4 linked regions of the Schizosaccharomyces pombe genome follow. The protein of the gene in region 1 purifies or fractionates together with the protein of each later gene. This does not show direct contact. Each region holds a gene or a part of one and is shown in the gene's direction. Other genes may lie near its edges. The genes, in order: rmp1, rpp21, pop100 and pop23.

What was found.
Region 2: the proteins of rmp1 (region 1) and rpp21 purify together in Schizosaccharomyces pombe (affinity purification with mass spectrometry, with the first as the bait; one study listed by BioGRID). This does not show direct contact.
Region 3: the proteins of rmp1 (region 1) and pop100 purify together in Schizosaccharomyces pombe (affinity purification with mass spectrometry, with the first as the bait; one study listed by BioGRID). This does not show direct contact.
Region 4: the proteins of rmp1 (region 1) and pop23 purify together in Schizosaccharomyces pombe (affinity purification with mass spectrometry, with the first as the bait; one study listed by BioGRID). This does not show direct contact.

What each region holds. Positions count from the first base shown.
Region 1 is NC_003424.3:3,917,008-3,924,842, forward strand, and holds rmp1 (ribonuclease MRP complex subunit), read left to right. Parts: upstream 1-3,999; 5' UTR 4,000-4,068; coding exon 4,069-4,704; downstream 4,705-7,835. Other genes in the region: NEDD8-activating enzyme uba5, read right to left, coding at 1-95, 133-296, 340-452, 490-524; SPOM_SPAC323.07C (MatE family transporter), read right to left, coding at 1,194-2,133, 2,196-2,857; inositol phosphorylceramide mannosyltransferase activity Imt1, read left to right, coding at 5,347-6,306; U6 snRNP-associated protein Lsm6, read right to left, coding at 6,686-6,714, 6,765-6,878, 6,988-7,072; sec67 (translocation subcomplex subunit Sec72), read left to right, coding at 7,746-7,835.
Region 2 is NC_003421.2:656,036-662,186, forward strand, and holds rpp21 (RNase MRP subunit), read left to right. Parts: upstream 1-1,668; coding exon 1,669-2,223; 3' UTR 2,224-2,783; downstream 2,784-6,151. Other genes in the region: Smc5-6 complex SMC P-loop ATPase subunit Smc6, read left to right, coding at 1-276; rpl2802 (60S ribosomal protein uL15), read left to right, coding at 590-1,036; sif2 (Sad1-interacting factor 2), read left to right, coding at 2,797-3,104, 3,188-3,453, 3,532-3,593, 3,674-4,162, 4,263-4,286; hap2 (Ino80 complex subunit), read right to left, coding at 4,816-5,009, 5,062-5,089, 5,135-5,146.
Region 3 is NC_003424.3:4,183,466-4,193,323, forward strand, and holds pop100 (Rnase P/MRP subunit), read left to right. Parts: upstream 1-3,848; 5' UTR 3,849-4,081; coding exon 4,082-6,178; 3' UTR 6,179-6,394; downstream 6,395-9,858. Other genes in the region: kinetochore protein mal2, read left to right, coding at 2,058-2,969; wybutosine biosynthesis protein Tyw3, read right to left, coding at 3,047-3,760; intramembrane aspartyl protease of the perinuclear ER membrane Ypf1, read left to right, coding at 6,888-7,775; SPOM_SPAC25B8.18 (electron carrier protein), read left to right, coding at 8,148-8,513; loz1 (zf-C2H2 type transcription factor), read right to left, coding at 9,177-9,858.
Region 4 is NC_003421.2:664,177-672,267, forward strand, and holds pop23 (Rnase P/MRP subunit), read left to right. Parts: upstream 1-4,404; 5' UTR 4,405-4,409; coding exon 4,410-4,480; exon of another isoform or gene 4,481-4,541; coding exon 4,542-4,887; exon of another isoform or gene 4,888-4,941; coding exon 4,942-5,130; 3' UTR 5,131-5,191; downstream 5,192-8,091. Other genes in the region: peptidyl-prolyl cis-trans isomerase Pin1, read left to right, coding at 492-892, 1,038-1,164; SPOM_SPCC16C4.04 (uncharacterized protein), read left to right, coding at 2,995-3,257, 3,303-3,507, 3,561-3,893; pus3 (tRNA pseudouridine synthase), read right to left, coding at 5,291-5,408, 5,461-6,584; SPOM_SPCC16C4.21 (uncharacterized protein), read left to right, coding at 7,134-7,379.

The sequences.
Region 1 (7,835 bases):
AAGCGAAAAAGAGGTTTTTCCTTTAAGTTTGAGGATAAGACTACAGAAAATTTTGAAAAATACTCAATGTTTTTATCTATTAAAGCTTCGGGGCTCTACAAACGTTAGAGTATATCGTCCAAACAGCCATACCATCTCTAAATATTCCATTTCGACGTTTGGATTAAGTTGTTGCAACAAAGATGCCGTACAGCGAGCTCTGGATTTTCCTTCTTGGTCGTACTGGATAAAAAAGTTCATTCCATCCATACTGAAATCGACAGAAGTATCATCAACGACAGCAAAAGAGCCAATCCCTATTACGTCTATTTAGTATAATTTCTTTAAAATATCCAATACCTGGCAAAATTAAATTTTTTAAAGCTTCACACCCTACAGTATTTGCATACAAAAGACACACATGCGACTTCTCAATTGCGTTCTGTCCTTCAGCTTTCCAAAGCCGTACTTGTCTATGATTAATAGTAAAGGATTTAATGAGTTTCATACCTATCGTATTTTTGCATTTTCGCAGAAGTTCCCATACTAGTTCAAAAGTATGACAAAACAGCTGGAAGTCGTTACGTGTAAATTACAGGTATGTATGTAGGAAGGAAGAAGGATGTTAATAAGACAGCTTGAACAAAATCTCTACGAAAATATATCAAATGAAATAAAAATAAATTTGGCTTGTAACAATAAAAATGGTAATTAAAGGGAACCGACGATATGACTAGGCCGGCTAAGTTTGATATTCTAAAATTGTGAAGCAAAATGAAACTACTTCCATTAGGGAAATATGGGCTTCTTGAAAACAACTGTTAAACTTCTGTACCTAATCAGCTTTTTTTGAGTATATGGCAATAGTATAGAGTCGGCGTGATAGTGACTCAAATACTCATGAAGAAAGACAAACCAACAATCAAAAAAGTAGAAAAGTCAAATTTTTTTTGGTAATAAGATAAATACTAATTAATTGTTAAGTCTCTAAATTTTTTGCAGAAAAAGGAATGGTAGAAACCAATTGACTACATGTGTAAACTGAATGACAGGCTGACAGGCAAAGATAATCAAACATATATTGTAAGATTGAGAGGATACGTTTTTATCGCGGATGTCTATTAAATAAAGTAATTATTAAAGCGGAAACAAAAGAAGAACGAGAATTCGGCAGTAAAATAGAATATCAAAGGAGTGGCCGAAACGAAAACTTATTAAACGTGGGTCAATCTATGACGAGCTTCTTGAAGAACTCTATGCCAATCAGTATTAAATAGAACAGTGAACTGACAAGTAATTGCGGTGACACTAGACAAAATCATTCCACACCAAATCCCCTTTAGACCGGTATTGAAATATACAACAACAAAAACGGTGACTGGTAAAGCAAACAAGTAGCTTGATCCGATACTAATTAAACCTCCAATATACTGTTTACCAGTGCCACGAAGAAGTCCACCTCCTACAGCATTTAATCCGTCAGTGACAATAAACAAGGACAAGATAGGGAAGATGTCCTTAACGACTGCAAGGACTTCGGGATCACTGGTAAACAAGCTTCCCCAAACGTCTCTAAAACAGAAAATTAAAGACCCATCAAAAATGGATATGCACAAAGCTAGCGAATATGCTACTCGAGAGCAAAGACGAGCTAAGTTGGCTCTTCCTGAACCAATTAAGTGACCCACGCGTGTTGACGAGGCAACAGCAAAAGCGAAGGGAATTTGAAAAAGCAAAGAAGTAGAAGTGAGCAAAATTGACTGGGATGCAAGGGGTGCAGTACCCAAATAACCAGCACCAAGACTAGTCATTTCATAGGCAGCCCACTCAGTAACGATCATCAGCATTCCATGGAAAGAGAAATGTAACATGGGAGATAGATTTTTCAAAGCCTGCCTAGAGAAACCAGGCCACGGGATAGGGGTGGAGGAGAAACAAATATACAATATTAAACAAATGCTTTGAAACCAAAAAGTAGTAGCAACGGCGACTGGAGCACCGAGAAAGCCAAATCCAATTGTGGGATGCCATACAAGAAGGTAATTTAAAAGAATATTGAGAGGAGCAGCAAAGCATAATACATAAGTGATAGGGGTAAATATGCCTTGAGCTTGCAAGTAACGCTTCAATGCCTCAAAAACGGCATATCCAGGTCTAAAAGAATACAGTTAGTGAAAGGAGGAGAGAGAACGGACAAATTTTAATAAAGTACTTACGCAGCCAAGATAAACACTCTCATATAACGACCACACAAATGAGCAACCATAGGATCTTGGTGAAGAAAGATTAGAATATGTTCAAGATTAAGCCAAATCAAAGCTACAGGTATGTGTAAAACAGCCAAAATAAGCAGACATCTTTGTAGGTAGATGGCTACATTGTAGGGTTTATTAGCGCCAAAGGCTTGAGTGGCTAAGGTATCTAAGGAGGAGATAACACCTTGGAAAATGGAGAAAGCACTGATTGCAGCAGTCATGGTGGAAAGGGACGAAGCTGCCAAGTATTCCTTTCCCAAGTGTCCCAATGTAAAGACTGTAGAAAATTGTTCCGAGGATTGTAACAAATAAGCGATGACGGTGGGAGATCCAAGACGCAAAAGTTCTGACAACTCGTGCTTTATAACAGGGTATCCCGATGCGTTATCTGCGAAGCTCTCGCCAGGTGTATGAACATGATGCTGCTGTAACTGCTGAGCTACAGGAATCATAGAACCGTAGACGGCTGGAATATTAGGCTCCACATACTCATTGCTATCCTGGAAGTACCCATTCTCTTCTGCTAGTAATCTTTGTTCCTCTTCAGAATAATCACTGTCGGGAGAAGGAACTCTTCCAGAGGTCGGGGATTTGGAGAAGAGTTTGGAGAAAAAACGCTTCATAATTTGAGAATTAACCTTGTCTTCACTATTAATTTTTTAAAAGCAAAATATTTCAAATTCTCTATATTCGCCTTTCTAATATCTTTTCTTTTTTGTGTTATACTTAGGATGAAGCTTCCAATAATTACAATTAACAAAGTCTTTAACTATATAAGGGGAAGAGAAGTCAAGTTTGATAGTGTGTACAAGACAATGGTAAACGGTAAGCCGTGGAACGGTGCGAGGTTTTTAATCAGCTCAATCGTCCCCCCTAGTACCGACTTGATATGCAAGAGATAATCGGTACCGTACATAGATTAAATACAAGGGAGAACCAATCAAAAATCAAAAGCTCTCAACTGAGCCAATGATATATCATTAAGATAAAATTAATTTTTAAATCGCACTAAGCGGACAAATAGCGTTTAGACTTTTTATCAGTTTCGCTATTGAAAATTTAGTACCGACAATCAGCAAATTTTACAAATTTCTTTTCATGGCAAACTGCTGGCTTAATTGACAAAAAGGAGGATATTTGACAGGAAAATTAACGCAGTTTATGTCTTGAACTGCGGAATCGATACGCCGTGAAAAAGAAGCCAGAAACAGCCGACGGTAGTGGTGCTTTTTGAAGGATTCTTAAAGTGAAAATTATCTGCTACACGAGTATATTATGGCGGTATCGAATGGCAGGTACCAAATGCTACAAAATCTTAAAACAGGCATATTAAAAAATGGGAAACAAAAAAGGACACAATAAATCATGTAGGATTCTAAAGGATGCATCGACCAGTAGCGGATTTTATTGCTAAGTATTAGAACTCTTTGTATTTCTTTTCATTGATTTGTACCTTTTGTTTTTGTTTTTGTCTATGAGCTCTCCATATGTTTCTACTTCGTTCCGCGGAATGCCCGGATCGACTGTTACTTCTTCCACTCCCGTAAACCAGGTGTCGTTTATTATCTTGATTTACTCGCTAATATATTTTCGTTAAGATTACTTATCGAGAGAAATTGAAAATGATAAAAATCGTTAAAGTCAAATACGAACAGTTCATTTTTAACGTCCAAATTTTGATTTAACGAGAACTTGAGCAACACTTTATTTCTTTTCATCCATCAATGTATTTAATGGATACTGTTCATACATACATACTTTCTTCGTTCGTGTTCGTGTTCACATTGCTCACTCGTTGGGTGGTTTGTACGACCTATTTGTCTAGTCCAACGATATGCAGGAATTGCAATACGATGTAGTTTTATTGCAAAAAATCGTGTATAGGAATAGAAATCAGCATCGACTAAGTGTTTGGTGGAGACACGTACGAATGCTGCTTCGAAGACTAAAGCAGTCGCTAGATGGAAATGAAAAAGCGAAAATTGCTATTTTAGAACAATTGCCGAAATCGTACTTTTATTTTACAAACTTAATTGCCCATGGTCAGTATCCAGCCTTAGGGTTAGTTTTGCTGGGTATCTTAGCTCGCGTTTGGTTTGTTATGGGCGGAATAGAGTACGAAGCAAAAATACAATCGGAAATAGTCTTTAGTCAAAAGGAGCAAAAAAAATTGGAATTACAGTCTCAAGATGACATAGACACTGGGACTGTTGTAGCTCGCGATGAATTGCTAGCTACGGAACCTATTTCATTGTCTATAAATCCTGCTTCTACTAGTTATGAGAAACTGACTGTATCCTCTCCTAATTCTTTTCTCAAGAATCAAGATGAATCTCTCTTCTTGTCTTCTTCTCCTATAACTGTTTCTCAAGGTACCAAACGTAAATCCAAAAACTCAAATTCCACAGTCAAGAAAAAAAAGAAACGTGCAAGAAAGGGACGAGACGAAATTGATGATATATTCGGATAAATAAACCTCAATTAGTCTTTCCATTTTCAATTGATTTTTTCTTTTCTTTACTTTTGCTTTTTGTTTCATCTATTTCTGACACCAGTCTCGCAAAATCTCTCTATTTTTATTAAGAACATTACGCTATGATACGAAAACGCTGTCATTCATCATAACACCATTTGGGTCTTTGAGTCTCTACTGCATTTCATCCAGCATCAAGGCATCCTGTTGTATAGAATCAAACATATTTTTTTTCTTTGTTTGTACATATCTTTTATTTATCTGTGCATTTGAAGTGCTCGCGGGCTTTAATTTATTCTTTTCGTTACTTGTCAAGTTTGAATATGCAGCGATTCTAAGCCATCCCCATAACGTATTTATTCTTTTCAACCTATTCTGAGCTTCTAATTCTATTAAACCTTCAATTTATTAATATTGGGTTTTCTGTTCTACTGAAACACTTTTCAACACTATCACTGCATATATTCTGGTTATTTGTTTTTTATGCGCACATCGTGAACAAATTAAATATTCATTTTATTTTTCAACGGTTTTCTTATTAGAACAAGTGAATTTTGCTCACCATATCACCTTTCTTGTTTTTTCGCTTCTTTTGTTTTATCGTTTTGCTGCCGAGGTGAATTACATCTGTTTGCAATCATGGGAAGGAAATGTCGCAAGCTTCTCTTAAAGGGAATACCTATATGCGGCGTTATTTTGTTGATCCTCTGGGGCTATTCCCTTTATAACACATTGAGATTTATGGTACCAGGGAAAGCGACTGAACCTTTTACCTTAAGTTTATCGGATGTATCAGATGATACTAGTGCTCCAGGAGAAATGGAAAAAATACCAAGAGTGATTCACCAGCTTTGGAAGGATGAAAATATTCCAGAGAGATGGTCTAATACTGTTAACTCTTGCAGGCGCCAACATCCTGATGAAAACGGCTGGCAGTTCATTTTATGGACAGATGAAAAAATTATGTCTTTTATGAACGAAAATTATTCCTGGTTTATGCCTGTTTTCCACAGCTATCCTTATAATATCCAGAAATTTGATGCTGCACGTTACTTTATTCTCTATCATTACGGCGGCGTATACATGGATTTGGATATTGGGTGTAAAAAACCCATGGATCCTCTTCTAAGCAAAGCTACTTTTATATTGCCTTCGACGGAACCCATTGGGTATAGCAATGATTGGTTTGCTGCTACACCAAAGCATCCATTTCTGTATCAGGCGATACATAACTTGTCAAAGTTTAACCACCGTTATTTCACTAAATATCCCACGGTGTTTCTCAGTGCAGGACCTTTATTCCTATCTTATCAATTTTGTAAATACTTACTTACGCCGCATGAACCAGTGCGCGTCTTACCTGCTTTACTTTATGGAAACGGACCTAATTCATTTTTTTCACATGTTACTGGTGATAGCTGGCATGGCACTGATGCTAAAGTATTTATTTGGATAGACCGAAATTCAAAATCTGTCTTATTTTTTGCTTTTTTGGCTGCGTTCGCTATCCTTTTCTTATGTCTAAGAGTTGTCTTTAAACGGAGAAGGAAACGTGGAATTGCGGCTTCTCACTCACAAATACAGGAGCTATATCCCTAGTCCCTTCGTTTCTATAGATGGGCTAAATGGGTGATTTGGCTATTGAAGAAATTCAAAGGTAAAAGAAGTGTATATTATAGTTTCATTTGATGACAACTTGAAAAAAAAAAATGATGCCAAAGTCATCGTCTCTGTGTTTGTTTAACGAAAACGGTTTTTTTTAAAGGGCTATAAATTACATTTACTTCTAAATGATACATCAATATCTACAAATATATATCCTTCATTGAACTCTGGCTCTTCTTTTCAACATTAGCATAAGAACTTATTATGTATACACGTGTTTGTATTTTTTAACGATAATTTGTATTTTATGCAAATTACTTTAACCAATCTTGTACCATAATCGTATATCGTATTGAAGGGCTAGAAATCGTCTCTAATCATCTAAAGCAGAAACATATAAGACTGTTGGACGGTAGTTAGGAAATCAAAGCACTTTAATATAAATACCATACCATTGTTTCCACGAATAAATGCATCTCCATAAACATTCGTCTTCTTGCCATTAACGTATTCTTCTGTGCGTTCAAGGGCCAAGTTCATATAACCATCAAGACAACTGAGGATTCCTAAAAAACAGGTTTAGTATTAACAAACCCTAAATAACGGAAAAAAAGTTAAAGCGATAGAAACAAATTGCAAACTTGCATTGTCTCCGACGCAATTCATGTTAAATACCTTTATAGTCGACACCAGAACTTAACCGGATAAGAACTTTTTTGCCGATGACCTTATTCAAAAACTCATTAGGAGAAGAATCCATTATCTTCCAGTTGGTTTAGAGAATTCAGCCTTTGAAGGGTTTTCTGTGAGTCGTAAATTGAAGTAGACACCAACTACATTGGTAACCTCAGTTCAGGGTGCTCTTGCATATAATGAAGAATAGCATTATGTGCAAAAATGTATACCGTGCAAGACTACACTACTTTAATATACACTTCGTTGCGTATCACTATATGTGATATGTTGGAATATCAGTTGAGATCTGGTTATTAATAATTATGGGTAACTATCCGCTAACTAAATAAATTTTATTAAAAACACCCTTTAGAACAATTATAAATAGAGGTACAGCTGAATCTCGTTCCTCAGTTTAGTTAAAGCTATATTAATGATAGGTAACAATAGATCGTACATAAAATATTATATATGTCCTCGGTTGCTACTTGTATTACCTGCTTTTTGCAATATTGCAATATAATAGATCATAAAGCTCATTGCAGTTCTACACATCGTTAAAATTAAATAACAAACTGCGTAGTTAGTATTTATGTGTGTTAAAGTATTGTGACACGTTCTGCTAACACTTTCAAGTTTACTACTTGCATTGAACATTGCTTGTCTTCTCTAAATTATTTGTACATAATAATCCATCCGAGCTTTGTGCTTTACATTAAGAGCAGCTTCACTACTTCTTCTTTTAAAACTTTGCTTCGATGGTTGCTAAACAAGAATCGGTGGTTGCACCTCAAGTTGATGTGTCAAAATGGAGTGGGAAGGAATTGGAGTTGGGCAAAAAGGTTAAT
Region 2 (6,151 bases), on another chromosome or scaffold:
TCTTTTGCAACGATTTGTATGCTGTTGTCAATTTGGGAGGCAATGAGTTGTCCGCTCCGCTGTCTTGATGAATTTGATGTGTTTATGGACGCTGTTAATAGACTAGTCAGTATTAAAATGATGGTAGATTCTGCAAAGGATTCTTCAGATAAGCAATTTATTTTTATTACACCTCAGGACATGGGTCAAATTGGTTTGGACAAAGACGTTGTTGTTTTTCGTCTTAGCGATCCTGTCGTTTCCTCTTCAGCACTTCCTCCCTCTACGGCGCCATGACATTTCTACTATTTTGATAGTCTATTGTATAGGTATTTAGAATTTATTTATTAGATATATAGCAAGTTCATTTGTATATTAAATTTGACTACGAATACGCATTTGTCGGCCATATCGTATACTTAGCAGAAAGCGAGAAATCTTAGTGTATTTGTTGTTACCGAAAGTCATGCTACTTATCGGTAGAATAAGGATGGATCGAATATTCAATTAGCAGAGTATATGGTAGGGTAGGGTTGTGTGACTGGTCTTAGTAGAACAACATAACCGAAAAACTGACATTCCTAGTGTCAACTCACCGCAGGACATCAAAATGCCAACTCACGTATCTAAGACTCGTAAGCTTCGTGGACACGTTTCAGCTGGTCACGGTCGTATTGGCAAGCACAGGAAGCATCCCGGTGGTCGTGGTAAGGCTGGTGGTTTACAACACCTCCGTAGTCACTTCGATAAGTACCATCCTGGTTACTTTGGTAAGGTCGGTATGCGCCGTTTCCACCTCATGAAGAATCCCTTATGGCGTCCCACTGTCAACTTGGACCGTCTCTGGACTTTACTCCCCAACGAGGCTCGTGACAAGTATTTGGGCAAGAACACTGAGGTTGCTCCCGTCATCAATGTCCTTCAATCCGGTTATGGCAAAGTTTTGGGTAAGGGACGTCTTCCTGAGACCCCTGTCATTGTTCAAACTCGCTACGTTTCTCGCAGAGCTGAGGAAAAGATTAAGCAAGCCGGCGGTGTTGTTGAGCTCATTGCATAAACAAATAACAATAAAAAGTACATTGAGCGGTTAATTATTGTAGGGGCGTCTTTTGATTTTGAAAGTAATGTATGTAGTTTTGTTGAAATCCATTGATGCACTTGAATAGAGTTTATTCAAGCTTCTATCATGTTTTTTGATAAACATTCTATAGCGTAGCGATTTATAAGTATATTGACATGTTTACCCTGTAACCTACTTATTGAATTTTCCTCAATTGACCAAACTTGTTTGCAAAAGCAATATATTAGTTTTTGTTGGGACTGGGTGAATTTAATTTTGAGTAGTGATATTATTGTCAAAGTTGAATATCAAGAAAGTCTGTTATAAAGTCTTTAAAAAGGTCATTATTCAATGTAATTTGTTGATGTGCCATATGTTGTTGATAAATAGGTAAAGATAGCATAACTACTACTTTTTACTACTACGAAGAAGCTATTCAGCTATATCTACGTAAAATCGTCATGGTAAAGAATAATTAAATAGTTTTTAATAGAGGAGAATTTTCGTTAGAGCATTGGTGTTTTTTTTTTGGAATCATTCTTTAATTTCAGAGAGAATTGGCGTCTGTAACACTTTCATCTACACTTGACCAAATATTTTAGTTTCCTGGGCTAACAAGACTTCCAAAGATGGATCAAGAACGTAAACTGCAATTTTTGTTATCAATAGCGGCAGAGACATACGCGATTAGTCCATCATTGTCAAGCCACTACTTGAGGAGGATGTTCTCTCTTTTGGAGGAATGGAATTTGGAAACAGATCCAAAGACACTTTTGCACGGGTGTTCCAAATGTGGATCTTTGTTTATATTTGGCCGTAATATAAAACTTCGTACAATTAGTTCAGAGAGGAAGGCACGGACAGATTTGAAGAAAGGAGAGGTCTCAAGGTTGGGCACAAATTTAGAAATTAACTGCTTAGTCTGCTCTTATGTTCATGAAATTCCTTTAGGGGTACCTCTTCGCTTGCACCAAAGCAAACAAGCGTTACGTGCTAAAGCTATTGCTGAATCTTCATCTACGAAACTCGAAAGTCGAAAATCTGCCCATAATGCCAAAGTAAAACAAAGACAACGTTTGAGAGCCTCCGGACTTAATGGAATTTTGGATAGGAAGAAAAAAAAAGATGAGGTTGCAAAAAGCACATCTTCATTAAGTTTACAAGACTTTATGTCACCGATATGAGTGATTCTGATTGATCTATCAATTTTCTATCTAGTTGTCATATTCTTATACACATATTTTCCCTCTAAAATGAGGATTGAAACTTTTCTGACATTTATTACAGCCTTCAGCGCCGTGTACTTCTTCCTCTTTTAGTTCAGCTCATTTGTCTTAATGTAGTTTTGATTTAAAATTTGAACTTCCCGTTTTAGATTTGATCGTTACCTTTTCCCGTTGTTTACTTTTATTTACATTTGTATTAGAACTATTCGTTTGGGTTGGACGAGTTTAGACAAGGGGCCCCTTCTTCTATTTGTATTTACTTTTAACTTATTTATTTACTATTTCTTTGATTTGTCACTTGTATGGTGCGAAATATATACGGAAATGTCAATCACAGAATAGCAAACAAATCGTCAACTTGCGGTTATTGTGCGTAGCATATTTTCAGTAGTTTTCTTTTGACAACGCCCTTATGAGCATATTTTTAAGTTTCCGATTAATCGTTCATTCCTTTACAAGAGAGGTCTCTCACTGTCTACCACCTGAAGTTGAGCTTGTGTCAATTACCAACTCCAGTTTTGCATTCTGAGGATGAGTAATAGAATTGGGCCTCAGAGATCCACAAAAACTGCAGCGAAGCTTCGGCTTCTTCCTTCTACAGAAGAATTTGATGATTTTAGAAGGCAGGATACGGGGCGCGAAGTGTACTCCCAAATTCCTCAAATAGAAGGGTCAACGGCAAAACGAGACGCAGAGCATCTTGGAAAACGGCATCGAGAATTCTTACCAAGAGTAACTGCCTATTGTACATGCGATACATTTAGAGTCGACTTGCTGTTTAAGTTTTTTCAATCTCGAAGAAGTAGTCATAAAACAAGACCTAAACAATTTGACGAATGGTTAGTTAATATTTTTGCATTTTTCTCATTCTATTGATCCTTATTGATATTTACTTGAAGAGGTTTATCTAACATTATAACAGTATTTATAGTCCGTATAGCTACAATAATGAAGAGACGACAGACTTACTTCCTGACACATTGGAGTCCTCCCGTGGAACGTTAAATCGAGAATCTTCTCAAGAAAGTCTACAAAGTATTTTTGAAGAATCCGGGTTGGACAGGAATCAACCCTTGTTTCGGGAAGTGTTTTGCTTTACTTATGGCGTTGTTGTTTTATGGGGATACACAATTGATGAAGAGCATCGTTTCTTAAGAGAACTCGGTCGCTTTGAAATTGAAAAATTAAGTATGCAAATTACTTTGGGTGACAGTCATTATCATATTGTTGTATCTTTAAGCAGTTATTAACATTTGTAATTTTTAGAGATCGAAGATATGGAGGTAGAAGAGTTTAACTACTATATAACGACTCTTTATCAACCAAGGGTATGAACATTTTTATTGATAAAAATTTTTGTCTTTAGCTCTTTTTCCTCATGGTGAAGCTAGTCGACTAACAGATATAGATATTCAACGACTTTATAGCACTTCGGGATGCATCCAACTACATGATTCGTCTTTCAATTTCACATGCTATTGCTCAATCAGTCAAAATATCACTATTTGAAGAGCTGGTCAACGAAACAATAGATGCTACTAAAGATACACCCCAAATGATTGCCGAGACTGGCAGAGTGAATTTGAAAAGAGAGGAAATTATGATGGCCGTAGGCCAGTTGTTTATTTTAAGAATTAACATTAATTTACAAGGAAGCGTTTTGGATAGTCCTGAGCTGATGTGGACGGAGCCGCAGTTAGAACCTATATATACAGCAGCACGGTCTTACTTGGAAATTAACCAAAGAGTTGCTTTACTAAATCAAAGAGTGGAGGTAATTGGAGACCTACTTTCAATGTTGAAAGAACAGATAACACATACACATGATGAATCTCTAGAATGGATTGTGGTAATCCTTATGGGGCTGTTGGTGCTGATAGCCTTATTCAGTATAGTGGTACGTTTGGCCGATGGTTTCAAATTGAATGACTTCCGTTTAGTAATCAACAATTCCAACAAATTTATTTTACTGTTTGCTAACACATTATTCTACATAGGTGGATTGGAAGCTGTTTCAATAACAACCGAAGAATCTTTCCTCTTTTTACATTATGTTTACATAATTGAAGAAATGGGAAAGGGCAAAAAAATTAAACCATATTTATCGAGTTGATTACGCATATGTTTCGGCTTTTTCCTTTAGTTTTTTTTTAGTTTCGGTTAGTTCATGATTTATTGACATTACACGGTAGTCTTCTATAATAATCCTACTTAATAGAAGATAAAGCTCTTTTTTTCTCTTCTTTGAAGATTCCTAGTTGATTTCCCACATAAAAGAACGTTGAAATGGGTTACACAAAAAAGGACAACAACAGCCATAGTACGTAGATATTGTATTGATTTCGGCACAAAGTATGACTTTTCAAAAAATTACATAAGGTTTTTTTTCTTCGGTTGCAGAGTCCAATTTTTACCATCAATCATTACATACTTCATATACTTAGTCAAAAAAAAGCATGTTAACGATTATAGATCAATGGCCGGCAAAGTGATTTTAAAACGAATGAAGACTTAAAAATAAAAACATCAAGCGCCTGCCTAAAACAAGTATTATGTCTCACCAGCTTCCTTTTCTTTATTTAACCCTTTTTTCTCGAGCACTTTAGATAGCAATTGCGCTTCATGGCGATACCGCTGAATGTCTCTTTCAACGTTGTAAATTTTCACAGCATACATTTCGCATTCCTTTTCAATTTCCGAGACTTTTCTTCGAATCCTTGCGGTTTTACGCCGATACACGTCCTCTATACGTCGAGTTCATTAGCAAAAAGTCGTCAGACAAAAATCGGTACACACCTTCAGTTTCTTGAAGCAAATTTACCACCTACGCGGTCAATAAATAATTACAAATAGGTAATAAACCTCCTACCTGTGGATCCATTCCCGAAAGCTTCACGTTCTCAGTTTCTGGTGAAGAATGCAAAGCTAGTTTGCTTAAAATCTGTATTGTATTTAACGAAAAACTGCTTACTTCGTTATAGAAGATTGCCTACTACATTACGCAACCAAGGGTTTATAACGATACGAACCGAAACCGTTATCTAGTTTTCTTACCCATCAGCTGGGTATTGCTAGTGAAAAACAAATGTCTAATATAAAGCTAATCCTTTTTTGGCTGACTTCTCTTATCCATTCATATTACATTTTTGCTTCTTTTGGGTAGAAAAAGAATGGATCATGTCTCACATTTACAATACGAAAGTCAAATTTCAATAAACAAAGGTACATCATACATGTGAACAAATATTTCAAAAACGATTTATGATCATTTCATAACAAAGAATCATGAATTTACTTCGGATAAGTTCAAAAATGATATTGTCAGCCACTGATTCAGAGTAAATCTGTCATTCGTTTTATAAATGCACTGTCATAAACGAATACTTCCAGCAGAACCAGGCTCCGGTTGCACAGAAAATTTCAAGTAATAAAGCAGTGTCTCATTGGCAAAATAATTTTCAGAAGGGAAAAAGCGAAATAAAACAGAAAGAACCTTCTGAAAGAAAATTGAAACCAAATAATGTTCAACAACGAAATAAAAACAAACAGAAATGATAAAAAGATAATAAAAAATACAAGGGTTTCACCTTGCTTCTAGCATTGAATTGAAACAATACAGACATTTATGAGTGGGCTGAAATTAAATAAAGAGGGGCGAGGAGGAAAATTAGAAAAAAGAGAAGGGGTCAAAGAGGTTTTAGACGTATATTTTTTGGTAATATAAACCAGTCTAAGATAGAGGAGTTAATATTTCATGAACAAAAGCACATAGAAATTGTTTAAAAACAACGGCAATAATAAGAACCCGGATACACAATCCAAGTATTAAATTAAAGATCCCTTCAAGTACCCAAGAAATTAAGTTATTAATCAAATAAAATAATAA
Region 3 (9,858 bases), 270 kb from region 1:
AAGCTTGTGATCGGGCGGTTTCACTGTAAGGTGATTGGAACGTGGCATGGACTATGATAGTGAAACCCTGGCCTATCGTAAGTGGGGGGAGTGGGGGACTCCCCGATGCATTGATAAGTGTGACCCAAAAAAACAAGCGCTAATTCAATGCGCTAAAATACGATAAAGGTGCATAGTGACACGCGTTAGATCATGGTATATGAGTAGCAATATTGTAGCAGAGGAATAATAGGGTTGGTAGTAAACGAGTATATACAGTGTTTATAAACCGAAAGTCGAATAGTAGGAAAAATAGCAGTGATGAGAGTCGAAAGACGAACATCAATAATTTTTGTTTCTGTTTGACTTTTGATCGTTGTTTATGGACTTTTCCGTTTTTCAGTCAGCAGTGGTAATTTGTGTTTACACTCGTATGCCTTGTATGCCCAGAACTAAAGCTCATCTAAGCAATCCCTACTATAGAAGAGAAAAATAAATAAATAAAATAAATAATAATAAAAAAAAAATCTACCTTACTTCATTCAAATTTATTTCATTGGGTTTTATTTTCTTTTTAGTAATCACTTTAACTCACCGCTATTTTGGAAATTGTAGATTTTTTATTGAATATCGCCGATTTTTAGTGTTTTACAAACTGTAAGCCCAATGTCGCTTGAACCCAGTTTTACAGTCTGGATGAATTGATTTTCTTTGTATTACAAAGACTTTTCTATTAAATTTTCATTTTCTCAATTGTATCAAAGACATGACAGCAAAAATCAACTCGACACTATGAAATATACTATATAACAATTGCCTGTTTTATAGATGCCAAACTGATTTTATAAAAAAGAATGTAAAAGAAAATAAATGAACTAAAAAAAATTTAGTTTTCTACAAAAAAGCAAAAAGCCTACAGCACCCCGGATTCCCATGTTGTCTCCAACCATAGTACTAACGAGGCCCTCAGACGCTTAACTGCAGTGATCGGACGGGAACTGGTGTTTTCGCCTAGGTATGGCCGTAGACATTTGCTTCATTAATTTAAACTATATATACTGTAATTAAAGAATGTAATTTATCATGTTTGTTCTAGCTCATTGTAAACAAATACCACTTAAAAGTTCACATTATATTATTTAACATTGAATAATACATTCTCCCTTTGCATTCATTTAACACAAACTTGGCTTTTGTCAAATCAAAACCCCATGTACATTCAACGATCCTTAAAACTGCTACAATGTATAGCACTTGCGCGCTCATAATCTAATATTAAATATACAATTTTGTTGCTTTCTTAATGCAATATGAATGTTTTAAGGGATTGTACGTGAAGAGCTTTAATAAAAGAATTGTTAATAGGGATGCACTAATTGGTGAGTTATAAAATGTAATGATTTTAAAATCATTTATATAAGAAGGAAAACTACCTTCATTTTTTTTCTTTACTAATTTATTTTTCTTTTTTTTTAATGTCATTTTGTTAAATGTCATTATTTTTTCTTCAAAATAATTCTCATTTCCTGGATTATGTCAATTTAATTCTATATATTTTATAAGTTAAATTTCTTTGTTCTTGTAAATAACCATTCTGTTTTCTTTCCTAGATTTTAATTTTAATTTTTTTTTTTAAACTGGCGATTTAATTATCTTCAATTTTATATAGTTATATACAACTTGTCCGACTTTGCTTTCTATACATTTCTTTGTTATTGTAACTCATTAAGAAAATATTTAATTTACATATTATCAAACAGTTAAAAATATTGCATAATTTTTCGTTTCGTTGCAAATAGATTTGCAATCTTCATTTTTTCCTATCCATTACATCTTCAAACCTACCAATCTCTAATTTTGATCTAATTACAAATCTCGTCTAAAATACTATTCCAGTTCGAAACTCTGAAATGCTACAGTGATTAAATTATAAAAGCTGCTGTGTATTTCGACGCTTTGACATACGTGGACGAGTCTAAGCGTAACTGAATTTCTATGCTTGGTTCATGTTATCAATAAGGCCCTAAGAAACTGTTGAAACTACAGTTTTTTTAGTTCCATGAATTTTTTTTGCTGCCATGGACGATGAAGAAGGCAATGCGACACTCATCGATGAAATTTCCGTCCTTGAAGCCAGAAGGGATGTATTGCTTGATGAATTAAAGTCTTTAGATAATGCGACACTGTCCGATCTCGTTCAGAAGCCCGAGTTGTCCAAAAATTTATCTGTAAACAATGAATTTCTGAAAGAGACTCCGTTAAATCAACCTGCACTGCATTATGATCGACTTTCTGGTATTTCCTTTTTCCAACCCAATGATCCTGAGGAGTTATCTAGAAAGACCCTTCTCGTAAAAAATAAAAAGACAGGAGCCATTGAGACTGCTCCTTCTATACCGCTTCTTGGTGTCCGGTTCGATATCATGTTGAATCCAGTAAATATAGGCTTTACGAATCTCTCAGAGAATCCAATATCTTCCGCCTCTGGCATGGACGAAGAACTAGAAGGTGGAAATAGATTTGATGTTCCCTATTATATAATTTTTCGAGTATTTCACGACTCGTTTGCTTTATATAAATATACGATTCCAAGCTTTCTGAACATACAAGAATGGGCTGACGAGTATTTGACTGGAAAGAACCCTGAAAGGTTTAGAATATTTTTGTGGAAAGTAGATAAATTATTGACCGCATATATCTGTCGTAAAAACGCACTTTTACAAATCAATAAGTCTTTGACAATTGATGGGACAAACATATCTGCCAATCTTTCTTGTACACATCTTGTCATTCAAATTCCGAAAGTCATTCAAGCTACCCTTGTTTGCTCTTCAGAATCCACTAGAGTGGTCAAATCAAGGATATATCAGTATTCTGATGAAAACTGGAAAAGAGATCACAGACTTGAACTATCTTTATTAGACAACAAACGTTGGGTTAATATACTTGTATCACACCTAACTGCTCCAGAAAGTCATGCTTCGTTATGATTGTTTATTACCATACTCTTATTATTATTAGACAGGGACTATCTTTTTATACAAAAAACTTTATACTTGTTAGTTATTTACGATTGCACCAAATAATCGTCCATATTCCTTAATTTCCGCCTTGGTTTCATCCTTTTCTCTACCTGTCTCTCCAGTTGCTCTTTCAGTCTAGCCATTCGATTTCCATTTTCAGTAAAATACTCAACGCTTCTCTTGAAAAGGAAGCACATGTATTCACGAGTAATGTAAAACTGAAGCTTTTCGGATGCTGTAAGACATCCTATAGGAATATCCATTCGTAAACTTGTTCTAATAGCCACAATAAACTTCTGCTCACTACCTTGAATTCCTGTTTCCCGAAAACCGCAGCTTGCTGCTACTCTTTGCAAATGCTGAGCATTCGCTAAACTTCTCGTTTGAACATGCAGAATCATGGGTTCAAAAGCGTATTGTATTTCCCGATTTCCTTCTACCGGAGAACTGGGAACCTTTCCGTATTCCACTTTTTCATCTTCTAAAACCGGTGGTAGTTCTTCATGTGCCTGATGACTAACGAAAAGCCAGTATCCACCTCCTTTTCTGGAATTTGCTCCTTGTACATAGACTGAAATTCTTCCTGAACATGAACTAGTTGTTACCCAATCCGGGTGGGAGTTTATAACATCTAGCAATGGAAATATTGGGCTATCTGGGTGTCCTTTGGGTGATGCATCAGGTACGGAGGATTTCAAGCCTTCTAAGATTTCTTTTTTTTGAGCATCAAATGATACATCTATTCCTTTTATATTCATTCAAATTGTTCTTCAAGGAACTCCTTGCAACGACTTAATTCAACTCGTTGGTGGATTCTTACAACTTTTCAACTTGCGTTGTCAACTTGCCAAATCAAGCACCTACATTTTTTTTTCTAAATTCAAAACAATATTTGCAGATTCGTTTGCTCAAACCTAATAAATAAAAGAAATCAAATAGAAAAAATCATTTTTATGGTATTTTCGTACGCGCTTGAGTAATTTATCAATCCATGCAACAAACAAGTTCCACTGTATAATATTAACTTCCTAATTAAGGCTGCTACAAAAACCGTCCCCCACTTTATCTAATTTTATGAAATGAAGCGTTCAACTGGAGGAACGCAACCAAAGGGACTAAACGTCAAAAGGTCAAAGCTCGCTGATGCTAGATTCATAGAGGTTGAATCACCTGCCCTTTCAAATGGTGCTGTAGACTTAAAAAAATTCATTGAATCAAGGAGTTTTGAAATAACGGCTTTACAAGATGCTATGAAAAGATCAAAAGAATCCAGCGCTCAGCGTGCTTTCCAAGCTCTTCCTCGATGTTTACGAAGAAGAGCAGCTTCTCATAATATAAAAAGGATACCTAAAGGTTTAAGGGATAGAGCTTTATATGAAATGCAACTCAGTTCCTCATCTACTTTGCCCATTGCACCTTCCAGACAACGGTTAAAGAGATTCATCAAACGCTTGCGAAGAAAGTTAGCTAAATCAGGTGAAACCAAAGCAATTGACAGTACGGGAAGCTTGGTTACAGACAATTCTACAGATGATTCGCGAATTCCGTCCTTGGCTGCCGTCAAGTTAATACGTGGAAAATTTGCTGGTCGTCAACTTCGGAAGGTATGGCTTCCCACTCATTTATGGGTATGCAAACGCGCACACATGATAAATGCTTGGGGATATGCCATTCCCGAAAAACCGACTGAGAAATCCTATCGTCCTACCCATCGAGCAGCTTTTCGGAAAGATGCAATTGCATTCGACATGTCTTATGAACCATTGTTTTGCATTAGCGGGCCATACGAAGCTCTCAAAGAAAAGTTTGGAAATTCTTTTGCAAACGGACTGCCTCCTGTATTTCTGAATTCTTCTAGATCATTTACATCTTACCTCGTGAAGTCTGACATACACGAGCTCATATGCCCTTGTTTTCTACAATGGAATAACCCTACAGAAGATGACAAAAAACAGATCCCTGTAAAAAATCCTACCGAATGTGTGCAGTTAGTTATACGTTTACATCCATCTGCATTTCTACAAGCATGGAATTACTTATCTGGTATAGCTGTTTTGGATGATCGCATTGCTATGCACGATTGGCGACTAGATCTAGCATCTTTTGATATTCACGGACCCGATAGCAACATTATGCTCCACAAAGTATTTGACGACGTTGAATTAGATGAAGCAGGAAAAGTTTGGCAGTCGATTTCCAATTATTCAAGCGCATGCTTACCCATGGGCGCCTCGATATCTGTGAAAGCATTAGTTAATACTCGTTGCGATAAAAATTTATCCGAAAAGGGAGAAAAAAGCTTATTAGATTCTGCTGAAAACAGTTTACCAGCATCTGCAAACCAATATAGCACTCATTTTAGGTATTGGGAGAGACAGGAAATACCCTCTTTTGCAGTTTTTGAGAATAAAAATAGACATACTCATGAGAAAAAATCTTCTGAAAAAGAAGTTATACCCGTGTATATTACGTATAGAAAAGAATGGAACGGACTCACTGTTATTTTGCCTTGGGATTATGCCAAGTTTGTATGGAGGAAGATGATGTATCAAAAAGGAATACGTTTTGGCGGATTAGAAAATTTGCACCAAATTGCGTTTGAAAAAAGAATGCCTTTCTTTCCGATTGATTATCCAGATACGATTAGTGGGCAACTTTGCGAAGAGGAAAGAAAAAAACGAAATGAAGATAGCTGGAAAAGACGTCCACCTGCCAAACGCGTAAATTATCAAAAATTCGGAGATAATTTTTCAGAAATAGGTAACCCGTTTTGTTGTGATTGGGTTTATCTAAACGAGATGGTTAAGGCTTCACGAGATGAAGATAAAACTCTGCAGCTAGTACGTGTTCAAGTACAGTTGGTGCAAAGAGGTAGCCTGCAAGATCGGGCTCGAATTTATTGTCTTAGTGACGATGAACTTAGTAAATGGAAGACCATCATTTATAAAGAAAATCTCACTGCTGAAAATTTGCTTTACCCAAAGTGTCCAAACGAGACGGCTATTATAGGATTCGTCACGACCGGAAATTTCAATTTGAATGCAGGCAAACCTTCTGGTATAGCCAATGTTCTAGCCAAAACGATTAAAAATGAGAAATCCGGATACTGTATTATTCGCAACGTAGGTTGTAGCGTCCCACGATTAGCACAATGGAAGTTTAATCAGTCTCATTAAAAAGATTTGAGGACTGCATTCCAATTTTGCCATGTGTATAAAAAAAGTGTTACTTTTATATATGACTGATAATTAAAACTCCTTTATATCTGTTGGCATCTTCTTGGATGCAACTAACTAAAAATTGGTGAAATTGAAATGCTTTCAAATAGAATAATTGCTAAATGACGCTTAAATATAATTACTGATCAGTCAACTGAAAGTTATAAACCGATCACCAAATTTTCCGTTTTGCCGTAGATAATACTGAATTCAAGGGTGCTTTTTCAAATTCATTTATTCATGCCGTTATTCTTTAGAACATATTTATGGGAATGTATTACGATATAAAGTATATTGCTTTGTTTACACATATAATACGCAACGAATGCATGACTTTGTGGGACCTAATGGCACATTCAAGTCACACCTATATGCTCGAGAGAAGAAGAAAATGTTTAATTTAGAGGTTTTGAATGAACTAGTTTCGAAAAAGCCTAATAACATATTCAAAATACAAACTATTAACTGCTTGTTGCATCAGGTTACCTTAAAACTCATTATCTGACATAATGCACTGTTAGCATTTAAATTATTGTGAGTCTTTTACAGTATCCTCCTAGACAACTGTTTATACTATTGCAAACGCGTGAGGAAATATTTTCACGAGTATTTGAGGTTTGAAGGGGATAAGTTTTTGGATTTCCTTTGGTTCATCATTTTACAAAAGATGGAGGGAGTAATACTTGCTTCGTCAGCTTTATTTACAGTTTATATAGGGGCGAAATGGTCTGCCCAAGAAGAAGAACCTGAAGAAAAACAACTTATTAATAAGCGCTTAGCTGTGCTGTTTCCTATTTTTGGAGGAGTTACGCTTGTTCTGATGTATTTGGCACTTCGATATCTGAGTAAAGAATATATTCAGCTGATACTACAGGGCTACGCAAGCTTAGCATCCATAATATGTTTTGTACGTAGCTTTAATCCAAAAACGACATTTGGAAAAATTACCGCAACCATGAGTTCAATTGCCATTGCATTATTCTACTTTAAAACTAAACATTGGATGGCATCCAATATTTTGGCATGGGCATTAGCTGCTAATTCCATTAGTATTATGAGAATTGATTCGTATAATACTGGTGCGCTTCTCCTTGGTGCCCTTTTCTTCTACGATATCTATTTTGTATTTGGTACCGAAGTCATGGTGACGGTAGCTACTGGAATTGACATTCCAGCTAAGTATGTACTTCCTCAATTCAAAAACCCTACAAGGCTTTCGATGCTTGGTTTGGGTGACATTGTCATGCCTGGATTGATGCTTGCGTTAATGTATCGATTCGATCTTCACTACTATATTAATTCTACCTCCCAGCCTAAGAAGCACTCGACATATTTTCGGAATACCTTTATAGCTTATGGGCTTGGCCTTGGAGTTACAAATTTTGCATTATATTACTTTAAAGCAGCACAGCCAGCTTTGCTTTATCTCAGTCCTGCCTGTATTGTCGCTCCATTACTAACTGCTTGGTATCGTGACGAATTGAAAACACTCTTCTCCTTTCGTAGTGAAACAGAAGATGAAACTGACGAACAAGATAAATGTAAAAGTACTTAAAATTGGTCCTTGATTTAGAATTTCAACATTCGTTTGTTAAAACCCATTCCTTACTTCACGCTCATCCGTTATTCGCCATACCGTATTTCCATAGTTTGCCATGTATATACGTTATACATATACCATGATATTCCACTTACCTCAATTCAATTTTTTACAAGAAATTTGCAAAAACCTTTATTTTGAAAGTTTATTTTAGAATAAAAAGTATTTGATTACAAAATTTAAATTACTCCAAATCACTACTAAAGAGTTGAGCATAGTGCATTTATACCACTTTGTTCCTTCGGCAATTATTTGACTCTGGTGTCTAAAATTTGAAATAATAAATAATTTTGATTATTAGTGAATTTCAGCTGTGTTTCTCCTAAAATGTTTGGTCTGACCACGAAAAGAATATTGACACTGTTTACCAAAAAGCGACAGACGCTAGTTGAGCAAAAATTAACAGAGTATATGATTGCAGGTGAAAAAACGGATAATCAAATGCTTCATTTTAAATTACAGGTCGAAACAGCTACCCCAACCCTTGACCAATTGAATATCATGCTCTCTAACATTGGTAAAGATAAAAGTGATTTACTTGTCGCAGGTGCTACGTCTATTGAAGATGCTTTGACAAAGTACCAGCATGATAATCAATTGTTTCGACGACCTTGCCTTGTGGATTGGGATAAGGGAAAAGTTAGTCCATATTCCATCCTTCTCCAAACTCGCGACTTTTCTAAACTTTTATAAAAATATCTCTTATTCCAACGACCGATTTTTACGTATCATTTTAGTTTATGAGCATCCTTTCAACTGATGTTGAAATGCGATGCATTTCAAGTTACGAATAATAAAAAATTTTGTTATTATTATATCTGCATATTCAATAGTTACTGTAATAGGATTCATCAGAAATTCCTTTTTATCCACTTAATATGTCGTTCGTTGCCAGATCTTTCGAATGGACTTAATTGATTGATATCTTGAGTTCGCTAGTAAACACATATTTGTACGATAGAAAACTTTTTAAGGGTAATAAATTAGCTAACAATGAAAGAACATTTCGGAAGTAGAAAGCTCAAAATAGATTCTTCGAATCATAATAAAATGAGACTTTAAGCATATGTTAAAGCTAGGTAGGTTAAACGGAAATGAGAAACGTGACACGCAAACTGTAATCAAAAAAATTATTTTAAACTAAACTCTAGTAAACGCGCGATAACAAAACGTAAAAGAAAAGGAACGGAAGGTAATGCTATATATTCTTTAAGGGTGCGGGCAGCCAACTGCTATGTGGTTTTATTCAATAAATTTTTATATATCATGAAATTAATATCGTCAGAAGTTGTAGTAGTCGCAATAAATGGCTTTCAAGTAACGGCTAATAATTGCTATCAGACAGGTTAAAATTGGCTACAAACCATGAATGCGTTGATGTCGCCGCATATTACTGCGTACATTGAACGCCTTTCCACATCCAGCGTAATCGCAGACAAACGGCCTTTCTCCTGTATGGGAATATGTATGAATTTTTAGACTAGAAGGCCTAGAAAATCCTTGTAAACATTCCGTACATCTATATCGAACGTTGGCAGCGGAAGAGGTAGACGAAGAACCGGTATGGGATTGTGCAATTTTGCGTGAAGTTGAATGTCGCCGCGATACATGAGCTCTCTTATCGTTGTTGTGATGATCAGAATAATTTGAATCAGATTGCTGACCCATTGGATGAGCCTGCGCGCTGTTGCTAGCCAAAGTAGCAACAACACTAAGTTCCGCGCTCATGTTATCCTTGAAATTTAAAGAAGGAATATATGGATTTCTGGATAAAGTGTGATTGTTTTCAGCGTCATTAGGAAGCGGAACCGAGACTGGATAAGAGGTGTTTGCCGGGCCTTGAGAATCATTTGATTGCGAGGTTGAGCTTTCGGAAGCGTTTTCGGCTTGATTACCATTTGCATGATTTAAAGTATTACTTGCAGGAGGAGCAACCGATGAAAGACGTGATTCATCGACTGTGGGATGATTTTGAAGATCTCGGGAGCTGGGTTGATACTGTGCAAATTCTGTATTATGCGGAACAGGGATGTGCTGG
Region 4 (8,091 bases), on another chromosome or scaffold:
ACCTTTTTCCTCAAATTCCACTCAAATCTGCCAGAAAAAAAATGTTTCTACTTCAAATTACACCAATTTTTCTTGATTAATTAAATAAATATCGAATTTGTAGTCCTCTACGACTTTTTACTCTTTCAAGCTAGGTGTTCCGCTTATGCTGAGGCAAAAAGGCATGCCTTGAGTTTTGTCTCCAATTGACGAATAAGGTATGCCCTATCTTCTGGTACTTTGGAAAGTGCCCCCACTTGGGATAAAAAGGTAGAATGCCCCCATTTCCTTTCCTATCGAAGGCCTTAGTGGTGGTTGACATAGCAACATAGCAAATGTGCTTTATTTACATAATAGATGGCAAACGACTCTAGCTACTACGTGACTCTAAACAAAGCAAATAAACAAGCTTCAAATTGCAGAGATTGAACGTGTTTTGCTTGTAATTTATAGTTGAGGATTTTTTCTGTCTTAGTGAATCCATTTTTTGAAGAAGCGTTGTGGTAAAAAAAATGTCTAATACTGGGTTACCCAAACCATGGATTGTCAAGATTTCACGCTCCAGAAATCGTCCCTACTTCTTTAATACTGAGACGCATGAGTCTTTATGGGAGCCTCCGGCTGCCACTGATATGGCTGCCCTGAAAAAGTTCATTGCAAACGAGTTGCAGGAGTCAGTTACACCCACCGAGGCAAGCAATTCACCCAAGATTCGTGCTAGCCATTTACTCGTAAAGCATCGAGAAAGCCGTCGTCCCAGCTCATGGAAGGAGGAGCACATTACTAGGAGCAAGGAGGAGGCGAGGAAGCTGGCTGAACACTATGAACAATTGCTAAAGAGTGGCTCTGTAAGCATGCATGATTTAGCCATGAAAGAGTCGGATTGTAGCTCCGCTCGTCGCGGAGGTGAATTGTATGTATTTTGATATACTGTAATTAAATACGAGTCGCAAGACCGACAGTATATGGTGGTGCCACACTTGGTGATAAGCTCTTGTTGGTTTGCCAAGTGTAGTCTGATTTTCAACTGGAACGATTTTTACTAACACTATGTGTAGAGGCGAATTTGGAAGAGACGAAATGCAAAAACCGTTTGAAGACGCTGCGTTTGCCTTGAAACCCGGTGAAATTAGTGGAGTGGTTGAAACGAGCAGTGGGTTTCACATCATTCAAAGACACGCTTAATTCATTTGCAAAACAATTACCTAATAATATTAATGAGTATGCTTTATTTCTTATTTTCACTTACTCCCTTTCCGTATGCTTGAAAAAGCAAACAAAATGTTTGTCTTGTTTTGTCACAAATTTATCTCTTCTGATGATTTTTTACATTTTGTTGACCATTTTCCCAAAGGAGAATATTCACAATTGTCGCTTTGTATGTCCCTTATTTCTGACGTTCACCCGTTTATAATACATTTTAACTTAGTATTTAAGTGTTTGCCCATTCATGAACACGAGCCAGCTTACTACCTAGGTTGAAAACAAAATGATTTGATTTCGCTTTGCTATTGATTGAAAAAGCTTTGATGAAAAATGATAAAGTAACTGATTGATGTTTCGAGATTTCTGTTCACTTTAAAAATTTTCACAGATTTTCTACTTTACATGAATGTTAACTTTATTAGAAAAAGTAATTACAAATTTATCTTTTGCATATTTCATTTGAGGTTTTATGGTTGTAGTCATTTTTTTATGCTATATTTATTTATTTGTTTATTTTTCTTTATACCTACACAAGTCTTTTTTCGTTTTTTTTCTCTAACCAACCCCATGCACTGATTTACAATAAAACAATTAATATCCGGCAAAGTGAAAATGCAGCATCCCATTTTTTACGCTATAGAGGTGAGTAGAATTCTTCAGCATTTGGAACCCATTTAATAAATTTATTTGAACCGACTTCGTACTAAATTCTATCTTTCTGTATTTTATAAAGCGAATCCATATATCAGCTAGTAAAGGAATATTTGATAATTTATAGGAATCCAAATGTGTTTACACAGTAGGGGCCTGAATTATGAAAAAAAGTGTTCTTTTTTAAAAAAAATAGTAATGATAATAATTTAAATTAGGGATTATTTTAAGTAACGTTAAATCTCATCTTGAACATTTAGTATTGTAAAATGAGTTGTATTAAAATAACAATTGTATAGCTATCAGAGTTTATTATTAAACTTCGTTAATACAATTAAATCTTTCAAAATAAAAGAAATATTTTTTTTTAATAAGCTTAAGAATCTATTATTGGGATAGTTTGCCGGTCGAAGCAATGATACTTTAGTCAATGTAAAAAAGAAGTCAAACAGTTAAAAACCTTTAAATTTGAAAGTTAATTTCAATCAATTGTTGATGTGCCAAAAATAATAAAAATAAATAGAAAAATAGCTAAGGTACTGTTGACTACTGAAGGAATTTTTTTTGAAACAAATATGGCATTCGATTCAAAACTATATGTTCAATTTAAATCGAAGGTTTTAGAGGTTATACTATCAATACACCTTTGTTTGTCATAGCTCTATTTAATATTACCTTAGCCAGATAAGTCAGTCATATAACTTTTGAGCATTGAAAAGAAGTTCATTCTGGATCAAGATAATGAGTAATCATTGAATTTACGCCTTGGATGAGTAATTCACTTTAATGAAGCGATACATTCCTCAATAGCAAAGATAAACGGAGGTCATGCATTGAAAGAATCTTTTTCATTCTTAATATACCGAATTGCCAGGCTCTTAGTCTCTGATTAATACTATTCTATTCTATTCTATTCAATTTTCAATTTTTATGTTTGTAAGAGAAAGTATAAACTGCATGACAATGAGCATGCTTCGATTCATTTGCAATGTAACTGGAATCCCACTGCATACCAAAACTAAATAGAGTATCTTACTCAATGACTTACTCTTCATGCTAGTTAGATCAATTTAAATATCCTGAGAAGAAGAAATTGATGAAATTATTTATCCTTTTTAATATCTCTCAATTTTTTTCATAAAAGCCCAATTACCATCCATGGCTTCTGCTACACTCCCAATGGATTATAAGACGCCTTTCGGATATGCTTATAAACTATACGTGGAAGGAAAAGATGAACATTCATTATATATACTTGATAATTATTTAAAGAATGCTAATTGTAGTGAAAACACTTACGAACAAGCGTTAATATTGTGCCTGACAATTATGTGTGAACAAAGGCGTTCTTGGACAGAAATGGAGGAAAAATTGTTACACAACTATCAAGGGAAAATACCGGATTCAATCGTGGTAAATTGGTATGTAGTATTTTAAATTTTGATCAGAAGTTTTAACGTGACCAGGATAATTACTTATTTAGAGAATAGTGAATTTACAAAAGAGAACTACGCGCAAATGATAAATTCTTTGTATCGCTACCAAGACGCCATTTTGAAAAGTGAATTGAAAGATTCAATTCTCCCCAAACTTGTCAATTGTGCTTGTAGCGTGCAGCTTACTGAGCCATTGAAAGCCATATTGGCTAATTCTCGTGGGGAACTTGAAAATGTATGCATGTTTGTAACAACATTTACGTTTGATCCTTGTCGCTAACTGTTTAGTCATTACTGCTTCGGATTCAAGCACAAGAGGAAGAGTTAAAAATGAACCTTGAGCGTTCAAAAACTCCTGATCCCTCGGAAGATGAAGGAGAATTTGCCTTGACCCTAAAATTGCAATTTTCAAAAGTCTCTCGTTTAATAAACCAAGGTTTAACTCCACTCCTCTCGCGTTTACAGTTAATTGACAAAAATATAAAAATTGTAGGAGCAATCTTTGGCATTATTCTTTTACTCTTTAGGTTAAAAAAATACATCTCGCATTCGAAAAAATCTGCCTTTTCTCCGCAAAGATGGAAATTTCTACTTGACCAATTTTTACTTGCTATTTCCTGATGTAAGTATAAGAAGGCATGCATCATATCCATGTATTTTTACTATTTTCTATTTAATCTAGAAAGTTAAAAGATTGTGATGAAGTTGATTGATTCTAACGTATTTCCTTGTTTAACTTTTTCGAGTTCTTTCCCTCCTAAACTTCATTTTTACTACTTCAAAAACTTTTTTTACTTCATTTTTGAAGGTTCTAAACTTTTATGAATTTCATCTTCTACTATTTTAGAACTGTTAATTTATGCTAGTCATTAGAAAATTGAGAAAATCCTCGCTTGATATTTGCATGTAACATGATAGAATTAATTGAAATTGAAACGACAGCTTCTTTAACTCTTTTTTACGTTTGTTATTATCTTTCAATTTCTGATATTTTTATTTCTCTATAATAGTGTAAAATAACGTATCACTGCATACAGAATTGTATGAACTTTGCATTTCATAAATCAAATAGTGAAATATAGCGTTTTACTATTTTACCTAAAAGAAGTCCTGAAAGGAGGACTAGATATTTGAGCTATGAAGAAAAAGCAAACGAAAGTAAAACAAACAGTTAAGCTTGTCCTTCGAAATCCTTTATCTATCTCTTGGTATGTAATCTATTGCTTGTATTTTCACACCTATTTTCGTACTGACTAACCATACCGTTAGGCCTATCGTTGATGCAAATACACAAGAGAAATTAGCTCAAACACTTGTGCAATGGCTTCCTGCCTCTCATAAAGACATATTAGACTCGAAGTTGACCGTTGGATTGAATTCTGTCAATGAATTGCTAGAGAGATGTTGCCAAAATGCGAAAGACGTTACGCAACCTGCGGTCGTATTCATCCTTCATGACCAGGATTCCATGCTAGTTACACACATGCCCCAGCTTGTTGCAAATGCTAACTTTTATGGCTCCTCCAAATGTCGACTAGTTCCACTTGGATTTTCTGCACAAGCGCTAATCGCCAAGAAATTGGGTTTGAGCAGGGCGGGTGCGATTGCCGTACAGGTAAGGTTACTGGTCAATTTTAGACTAAGTAGAATGATATTGACTATATTTTAGGATGATTCTCCTCTATGGAAATATTTAAAAGATTTAGTGATGAATATAGAAGAGCCTCAAGCACGCTGGCTTTCCGAAAATCCTGAGTATGAGGTGACCAAGGTTGAAAAAATCATTACAAGTCAAAAGGAAAATCAAGGAACAAAAAAAGAGGGTAAAAACGAAAAGGGAAACGAGTTTAAAAAATGAAAAAATTTTAAGATGGCAGATTTCTTGTAGTTGTATATGTAAATATATATGTTTGCGTGTGTGTATGTGTAAATGTGTAAGGTATGAAAGATTGTGTGTAGATTGAGAAAGTATGAAAAGAAACATCGATAAATTGAGTTTTAAGCAGGCTGGGCAATATCTATTTTTCGCCAAGAATATCACGACGAGACGAGGGCTCTAAAAAGTCAAACGATGTCAACAAAGCTAAGTCTTGAAATAATTGAAATTGTTTTTGAAGGATGAAAAATGATTGAAAACTGAGACATTAATAAAATGTGAGATAGAAATGAAAGGTGTGGTTTAACTTACGATTCTGATGAAATGAAGCAATCAAACATTGGAGTTCGAAGAAAAGAATGTGCAAATTGGTCAATGCCTTTTTGCGCACATGACCATTCAACCGGTTCATGATCAAATCGGGAACATTTTTTGTTGAAAGCTTGAAAGATAGGTTGATTGAGAAGTAAAAACTCAGCAGGCGCTCTAGGTATTCGAATGCGATACGAATTATTAAATGTATTTAGCAAAACTTGCGCATTCCATCCAGTGCGTGTAAGATGAATAAGGATGCCAACCATTTTGCGAATTTGATGCTTCATAAACGACTGGCCGTGAAAGATTAGCTTAACCCATTGGCGATTTAACTTGTCAATGTGAAGGTTATCCACACGCACATCTAATAAAAACCTTCGAGAACTGGCGTCCGAAAAACCCTTCTCCGTTGTATAACTGTGAAATCGATGGGTGCCCCGAAACATCGTACACGCATGCTTTAGAAAGTCGAGTTTAGGTTTGGATAAACGAAAGGGCTCGGACAAGGAATTCGCAACACAGTCTTGTTTGCTTAAGTTAGCTAAATGGGAAAGTGTTTCATTAATGGGGAATGCTTTTTCAGATGCCTTGGCAATTACATAGGCCTCGAGAGTGCAAGGACGGGGAGTAAGTAGAGAGGAGACAGGCAACCAATACTCATATACGCGACTGTCGCACACAGTGTGTGGAGAAAACGAATTAAACGTCCTCGCCATTTTCCATACACGAATACAAGGTGGTAAAATATCGTTGACCAAATTCACCACATGAGGTAGAGGTTGATTGTCCAACACTTTCAAACCAAGAACATTAACAATGGCATGTACACCCTTGTCTGTTCTAGCAGCAGAACACATTCGGATCTTCTTGGGAGAGTCAGCATTCACCTGAACAACGGCGCCTACTCGAGCGAATGCTTGGAACAGTGTATCTTGTATGGTTTTGACATTGGCATTGTACTGCAAACCAGCAAAGCCAGTACCACGATAGCTGACAACACAGTAGACCATTCGTTTCCGGGGTTTCACCGAAATCGAAGAAAAGAAAACCCGATGTCGTTGGAGCAAGCAAAGCACAGATTGGTTGGCAGAGAACCTTGAAGGTCTTAAGAGACTATGCATAGTTTGAAAGATGAAATTAACTAAGCAAGTTTTTAATGAAAGAGAGGAAAGGTACTACAGATGGCATGTGCTCAAGCAAAAGTTAGGATATTAAAAAAATATTAAACTAAGGGTAGAAGCACTTCAACTGTTTTTCATGAACAATATAGAATATTACTATAATTTTTTGGAAAGAGCCCTAGCTTCCATGAATAGTCTTACCCACAATACCCTGTTGTTTATCTATTTTCTTTTACTAAACCAAGCTGTACATACTAGATACCACAAAGAAATACCTTGTATCTCCTTTCTACCCCTTTGAATGGACAATGAAGCCGAAAATTTGCCGTTTTTAGAAGGTCCTTTTTTTTCAACTTTTATCGAAAATTAATTTTTTTTCAGTCGTTTCAAAGGTCAACCTACAAAACTAATTCTTTTCGTTAGCAACCGCTTTCTTATCAATCTTTGCTTCTTTATTTACTGTTCTCTGCTAAATTTTCGTTGATTTATTTAAAATACCTTCTAAACCATACTTTTTCTTACTACCCGGGTTTTGACAAATTTTTTTCTATGCAGCTCTATCCGGCAAATGTTAAGGGATTGAGATATAGTGAATGTTGCATCTTAACCGCTAACCCATCGGTTCAACATTTTGTCATGCATGATGATGCTGGTGTTCCTCTAACGTACAGCGTTTCCACACTGCACGCCGAACTTACCGACCACCTATACCTCCCAACCACCAGGAAAACAGTCGCAGTAGGCAAGAAAACGCTTTTTGTAGTGCAAAAAAAAAGATTTAAGCCGGAAACATAGCAGAATAGCAGAAATTTGATATTTACTGTTATCATCTCCATTATTATTTGGATTAGTTTTCGATTGTCCTTTCATTCATCTAATAACGCTTGTTTTTCTTTTTTCTTTTTTGCATTCTCAGTCTTGGTTGTTTTGCTATTTATTGCGTTCCTCGGTTTCTCCCTATTAAATATTTTCTTTTCATTGTTTTTACGGAAATTCTCATTTTTTCATCTTAGGGGCTCGTTGACTCAGCCTGCACGACAAGGAAAATTATATCCGTTTCGGAAGCACAACGTGTGTGTTGAAAGTCTTACTTTTCTTTTTTATTTTTCTGTACCCTTTCATTGAACTTTAGCCATTTGTTGCTTTGTTGAATTTTGGCCATAAATAGTTTTTCAACTGGGTTTTTATTCGACCTCCTTTCATTATTCATTTCATTTTCATATCTATCCATTTCTATCCCCACTAAACAATTTTGTGTTTTTAGGATTTCCCTATTCTCAATCCATAAAATAGTCACGATTCGTTTTCATTCAGATACCCGGCTCCTTATTTTTTTTTTTTTCGAAATTTTATTCACTCGTTTGATTTCGTTGATTCATTTCTTCCGCCTTTTACTCATTACTTAAGGGTATTTGCTTATTAAACGTTTGGTCTTTTTTTTTGCCCATCTTTTTGTTCATACAAAGTTTTGTGACATTTATATAATATTTAGTCTCTTCGTTTTTGT